Yarrowia lipolytica: one gene and its partner. The protein of the gene in region 2 purifies or fractionates together with the protein of the main gene of each other region. This does not show direct contact. Links are inferred from orthologs where the notes say so. Each region holds a gene or a part of one and is shown on either strand. Other genes may lie near its edges.

What was found.
Region 1: the proteins of YALI1_B02881g (region 2) and YALI1_D15333g purify together in Saccharomyces cerevisiae (affinity purification with mass spectrometry; 3 studies listed by BioGRID, with this or other methods). This does not show direct contact. The link is inferred for Yarrowia lipolytica from reciprocal best matches to the Saccharomyces cerevisiae genes MRPL7 and MRP7.

Annotation. Positions count from the first base shown.
Region 1 is NC_090773.1:1,531,385-1,534,978, reverse strand, and holds YALI1_D15333g (mitochondrial 54S ribosomal protein bL27m), read right to left. Parts: upstream 1,643-3,594; coding exon 518-1,642; downstream 1-517. Other genes in the region: YALI1_D15362g (uncharacterized protein), read left to right, coding at 1-169; YALI1_D15345g (uncharacterized protein), read left to right, coding at 257-368, 413-507. UniProt on the Saccharomyces cerevisiae protein: Component of the mitochondrial ribosome (mitoribosome), a dedicated translation machinery responsible for the synthesis of mitochondrial genome-encoded proteins, including at least some of the essential transmembrane subunits of the mitochondrial respiratory chain.
Region 2 is NC_090771.1:286,256-289,571, reverse strand, and holds YALI1_B02881g (mitochondrial 54S ribosomal protein uL5m), read right to left. Parts: upstream 1,405-3,316; coding exon 511-1,404; downstream 1-510. Other genes in the region: YALI1_B02910g (uncharacterized protein), read left to right, coding at 1-236; YALI1_B02874g (uncharacterized protein), read left to right, coding at 2,159-3,316.

The sequences.
Region 1 (3,594 bases), on a different chromosome or scaffold from region 2:
CAACTGCTGCAACATTGACGCCAACAATCCGTTTTTGAAAGAACGAGGAGTGGTTTGTCTACGATATGTCATGGAGGGCAACGAGGAGGCCCAGAAGTTTGTAGCAGATCTGGAGGCCCAATCACAGGCCCAGAAGCTCGACCCTAAAAACGAGGAGTCGTTGCCGTAAGCGACGAGGGATAGTGACATAGAAACAGGAGCATACCAATAGCATTGCGCACTGTCTAACTACACCACGTACTTCTTGTATGTGATTATGAGTGTAGGAACGGTAAATAGGGCACTGTATGTTAGCTACCGGCATGTTCGTGACCTGGCAATAACAAGATATGACTGCCTAAACCCAGGTTCTTCTTTTGATCAGAGATGTAACCGTTGCGCAACATATACAATGCACTCACTCGTAAGATAGGGTCAAAAGTCAGCTACTTGTACGTTACCCACATAATTTTTCAAAACAACTTCATTTTCATCATGCAAACGCACTGCAACTTCTGCTACTACTAGCTATATACAATTAGTGAACAAACTCCTTCTGGAAGGCAATGTCCTCGGAAAAGTGGGCGTCCTTGGGGGCAAGAACATAGTCAATACCCTTTCGCTGGACGTTGTAGACCTTGACCAGCTTGCCTTTGCCCTTCTTGGCGGCCTTGACCACCTCCTCGTGGGGCTGCACGGCCTCCAGAAGCGATGCGGTGACCTTGAACTCGTCGGCCAGCTGCTCCTTCTGGCTCTGGCTCAGGTAGACAGTGGCGTCGAGGATCTTGTCGATTTTGGCGATCTGAGAGAGCGAGATGAACGCGTTGGGCTGTCGCACCTTGGTCAGCTTGTCTCGGGTCTCGTTGAGCTCCTTCTCCACGGTCTCGGGGCTGCTCTTGGGCACCACGGTTCCAAACTTGGTGACCTCAAACTTGGCATCAAAGTCCTTGACGTCAGAAGAAGTGTTGAGAAAGGCGTCGGCAAACCGAGCAGCCTCAGCGTTGGTCCATCCCAGAGTTCGGTAGTGGGCCATCTTTTGGGCTCGAGCAGCCAGCTCACTGTTATCGAAGCCCAGCTCCTTGAGCTTGGCAGCCAGCTTGTCGGTGAGGGCCTGCTCCTCAGCCTGCTTGACGGCCCGACGCTCGGAAATCTCCTCCAGCAGCTGCTGCTCCTTGTTGGGTCTCCATGCGAGCTCGGCCTCGGCTCTCTTGGGGTCGGAAATCACATTTCGGCCAAACCGTCGAGCTCGGGGAGCCATGTGGTCGGTGGGAAGTCGGGCTTCAGGGGTCAGACCGACGCCGACGAAACGACGGGTGGGGTGGAACGGATCATAGTAGAATCGCACGTATCCAGGCTCCTTGGCGTAGATGGTGTGATCTCGACCGATCCATGTGTTCTCGCCAGGGTAAAACTTGGTTCCTCGCTGTCGGTAGATGATGTCCGAGGGCTGGACATAGGTTCCCTCGGTGGCCTTGACACCCAGTCGTCGACCAATAGAGTCCTTGAGGTTGGTCTTACCTCCTCCAGCTCGCTTGGTGGCATGTCGCACGAGAGGCAAGGCCAAAAGAGACACGGCCTGGGGGCCCGAAAGGGACACAGAGAAGGCAGCGCCGGCGGCAGCCCGGGCACGGACCGCGGACTTAACTCCTGAAAGTCGCAGCATTGTGGTTCTGAAGAGTGTGTGGGTTTTCAGCGATTTCTGCGTGCACTGTTGGGACTCTCTACAATGGTTCAATGCTAATTTTCACGTCACGTGCAGTGGAAAAGTTTATTTTCGGATGACACTGGGTAGACGGTGCAAGGGGCGTAGATTGACAAACTTAGAGGAGCAGCAAGGGCTTTCGAGATGACGGGCCATCAAACATGATTGTAGAGCTTAGGGAAGGGGTACCGATATTTGGGTGATTTAGTTGAGACCCAATTGGAATGTTTGGCGTCGTGAATTCTACTTGGAGTGCGTATACTAGATCGGCACGCATAACTCGTTAGTTAAGCATGTAGTTGGGGTTAGTTGAGAAAGTAGTTATGGTTAGTTGATAAAGTAGTTAGGGTTAGTTGAAGAGATGCTGTTGAAGAGAGTGGCTGAGGATTTCGAGACACTCACACAACGATGGCTCCAGCGAATGCACCAGTGTGGACAACTGCCCTGAACAATGCACTGGTGTATCCTTACCCATTGCCATTAATATATCTGGTTATAACAACATCGGCGGTAATACAAGATACATACTTGTAGTTCTATCTCAGAAGTCTCCTCCTACAAATTAATAGCCTTGACTTACTCGTGATGTACAGAACCATTTGATTGAACGACATAGTAAAACCAATGGTATCTTCTCTGTCACACGAGATAATATTCCACACACACGAGAAAATAAACCGCACAAGCGTATTGCTCGGGCCGTTCACGCTTTCTGTCGAACGCACTAATTACAGTGTAAGGACAAGATAACGACCAGAATGAGATCCGAAGACGTCTCATGGGGGGTATCGCAGATTTAGATGAGCAACGGCAAGGGTACGTACGTATACGATTAGACACACAGTGGTAGTTTTTTCTGGGGGTTATCGACATTTGGTCATGATATATCCACTACACTGGTATGTATGTACTCCTACAGTATGTGCAGTTATTGGTTGCTTGTACTATGGCCGCGATAGCAGCAGTTAGTTGTGGCGATTCTGAACAGTGTCCCAGTTAAATATTTACATAATAGTTTATCTTTTCTATCCAGGAATATCAAATGTACAAGTACGAAGATGGATACCGAATATGAGCATACCAGATAGAATATCTCGGTTCAATACAACACTGCGATCTTTTTCAGACCGAGATCAGGCAAACAAAAAGCTCATCGCCTCAAGCAGCTTTCGATGCTTTCGATGACAAGGAACTGTCCATCCAAGTAATTATTGGAACATGAGTCTCGGTACGGGAGTGATGAGAAAGATGGCGAGTAAGAGGGCGTCTGGCTATTGAGAAGATTCAATAACTTGATATACTGTACAACACAAGTAGGAGTGTCGGTACTCTTCCAGATCATTGTCAAAACCAAGCATTAGACTTGTTTCTTTTATCGTGTTTTATCTAATACCACGTTGCTCAAGAACAGTTGAATGGAAAGCTTTGGCAAGGGTGACAAACCGCTAGTTTCCATTCTGAGGGACAAATTCGCTCAGCCGTTTGTTATATATCCAAGGGCTCCTTTCATATTGTCGACGACCCCCTTATGGCTCTGACAGAGCAAACCAGGGCTCCCAACACCAACGAAGACACGGCATATCGATGTGGAGAGTCGTACAAGGAATGTGTTGTCATTCCTGCACCTAGTCCCGAGCTCTTCACCAACAAACACTATTCTCCATCGTTTGATGAAGAGCAGTTCCAGGACCTTGTCAGGCAGTCTAACTACATTTTCCGCCAGTTGGAGTTTTGATACATACGTTTGACTTCATCCTTCAGGTCTGCAGATATAAAGTATTGATTTGCAGTGAGAGAAAAAGATGGACTACCAGCATAGTATGTATGTCCTGGTACATAGTAGAATCACCTCCGTCTCTCAAGACGGCTTATTCCTCCAATCAGATCATTGAAGCCGTATATCACCACAAGGA
Region 2 (3,316 bases):
TCATTTTGTACTTTTATAAGAGAGACGAGAAGCGAGATTGTCTGCGAAACGGAATTCTGCTGGTGAATGATAATGAAGATAATGGCGACAAAACTGGCAAGGGAGTCGTTATTGAGGGTCTTTCTGAGAGCTTTGATGAAGATACTGGAGTTGCGAAGAAGCTTGAAGTCGAAAAGATCAGAGAAGCCAGTGTTAGTGACGAAAATGTCAGCAACCTGTCGTTGGTGGTTATTTGATGGTACAGTGATTTGATGGTAGAGTAATTTGATGGTATAGTAGCTACTGTACAGTATGTATAATTGATCTGGTTTGCTACAATGTTTATGACAACAGACCTTTGTCACTACGAGTATGTACAGTACTCGCAAGATTTCTGTCTGTTTTCAAATTCATCATCTTATTAGCCTCATGGCTCACTATATACAAATCTGTACTCTTTTGGGTGTCCGGTATTTACCTGGTCGTCGATAGGATGGAGTCCACTCGCGACCAAAGGCCATTCATTAGCGCTTAAGATCGTCCCTGATGCTTCTCCTTTCCAATGAAAGGAAAGTTGAAAGCCGACAGCAACGCTCGGGCCTCGGAATCAGCCTGGGCGGTGGTGTGGATGGTGATGTGCATTCCGTACATCTGCAGGTAGGCGTCCTGGTTGGCCTCGACCTCGGGGAAGTTCTTGACGTCCTCAGGGATCAGACCAAAGGCGATGTTTCCGTTTCTATCTCCAGACGAATTTCGAATTCCGTTGAATCCAATGGCTCGAGGCAGAACCAGCTCTGTCAACGAGGTCATAAAGTCGGAAATCTTCTCGCCGGTAATCTCCACTTTGGCGCCCATGGGGTAGCCCTTTCGGAGCTTCCAGGTCATGATATTAGACCGGGACCGGACTTCCTTAGCAGCACAGCCGGTGATCTGCTGCAGCAGGAGTTTCTGGTTGATCACCTTCTCGTGGTCAAGAACAGTGCCGGGGTCTGTGCAGTTGATGGTGATCTTGGTGATGGCAGGGATGTTCTTCCAGGTTCGAGGGTGCACGTCCTTGGTGGGGGTCTTGTTGGGACCTCGAGGGGGCTGAGCAGGTCGTCCAAGATGGTAGGGCGAAGTGAAGTCCCATGGTCGGTGCTTATTTCCCTTTCGCACGGACTGTTCGTGGACATAGCCCATCAGCAGCATGTCTGACGCGACCGTGTTGTTGTAGTGGTCGACAACCCGGTCAACACGGGTGTTCTTGGGCACATACTTGTTGGACTCAATCGATCCAGGGTGGGTCAAAAGAGTCTTGGTGAAAGCCGGCTTGAGAATGTTCTTTTTGTATCTGTAAAGATGGTGAACCGGCGGCTTGATCGAGATCTTGGCGCCTCGAGACACGGCCGCAGAGGCGTGGAAGGAGCGGGTGAAGACCACGGACATTGTGAGTTGTGAGGGTCGTGATGTGTAACGCAGCACAAGAAGGTGAGTGAAAATTATTGACTTTGGGAGTTAGTAAGCAGGGATGAAAAACGCAAGTGATTATCCGTAAAAAAAGGCGTGGGTACTAGTTAGTAGTAATCAACCGACATGGGCTTTGTATTGGTAACATCATTGACTTCTAATATAGAAAATTTCCCGAACAAAACTACCCGGTCTAGAATATACACAGAATTAGCAATTTGGCGTGAATATTTGGGTCTGCCTTGAAAATCTCTCCAGAACTCGGGGAAAAATAGGAAAACACATAAACAGTCGAATAGCAGTCTGTATATGGTGAAATTCTTTGTAATATCCCTTCTTTATCTCCTGTTTTGGCGCAGTAATGATGTCCACTAGTAAGTACCAAATATACGCCTACATGACTTTTTGGCGTGCACATTCTTGTCCGGTGATTACAATGCAGTATTGGAGTTGTGTTTTGGGCTTGATAAGGAAGACTGTGAAGTGGGATGTGGGTGGGCGGTTAATTAGTAATCAAAGAGGTCGTTAGTTAGTCATCTTACAGTCATAGATTATGTAAAATATCACGTGACGTCTATGATCCAGTTGATGTTACTCTCATTTCAATCGCACTGTTTCTAGTATCGTTTCAAGACACATTGCTTCACCCTCCATACAGCTCGGTCTGCATATTCTAAGTTGCATGTATCAAAAAAGTATAGCCGACTGAATCCATCAAGACACATCCAGGACCATGAAATTCAGCCCATTGAGACCGGCGGTGTTGACGCGGATTCCGAATTTCGAAGACGGATACGACCCGCTATGGGACGATGAGGAGCTGTCGCAGGAAATCAGTCAGTACGAGATGTCTCTGGAGGAAGAAGGCACACCCAGTAAGCCTCCTCGGAAGACTCCTTCTCAGTCGAGATTTGCAACGGAGTACAGTGCCTCGAACAGTCCGACTCGGCCGACGAAACCGGCAGTGTCATCTCCTTTGAAGCAGGAGCACAGAGACGAGACTCAGGACGTCAAAGAAGACTCATATCGCTCTATCCACGATCTGTCTTGTGCAGAGTGGGAGGGTACATTGAACCGGGTGTCACTTATCCTTGATCAATGTCATCTGAGTCCCGTTGGAAATTTCAAGCGGGGTCATAGACGGGGTTCCAGTGTTAACAGTGTGTCTCTGGGTTCCCCGGTCGACCCTGCGGCTGCCATTGATTGGGGAGCTCCTTTAGCTCAGGTCGAGAAGGAACTCCAACATGTGGAGGACGTGTGGGCGTCTGAGGAGCTCAAACGACACAATGACGTGGCTCGACGGGAGTCTGTGTTTATGTCTCGGATGGGAGACGATCGGCTCAAGCAATCTGATGAGCTGGCCAAGAAGCGGGAAAAGAGAAACAGCGTGATTGTGGGCGGGTTGGTTGATCAATGGGAGGCTGAGAGACGGGAAGAAGAGCGGCAAAGGCTGGAGGCCGAGAGGAAGGAGCGTGAGAGGATTGAGCGTGAGAGAGTGGAGGCTGAGAGGAAGGAAAAAGAACGACTTGCGAAAGAGAAGGAGGAAGCTGAGAGACTCGAACAGGAACGACTTGCGAAAGAAAAGGCCGAAAAGGAGGCGGCCGAGAAAAAGAGAATCGAAGCCGAACGTTTGGCCAAGGAAAAAGCAGAGAAGGAAGAAAAGGAACGTCTGGAAGCGGAAGAACAAGCCAGAAAGGACAAACTGGGCCAGTTTACAAACTGGAGAGCGGTCGATAAGGAATTCCTCCAGTGGAAGGCCAAAATTGAACAAATCAAGAAGGACATCAAGGAACCGGTGGCCAACAATGCCGAAGTCAAGAAATTGTGCAATAAATGCAAGCGCCAAATCAACCCCAAGTTCGGACAGCTCACGCCTTCAGTTACACACACA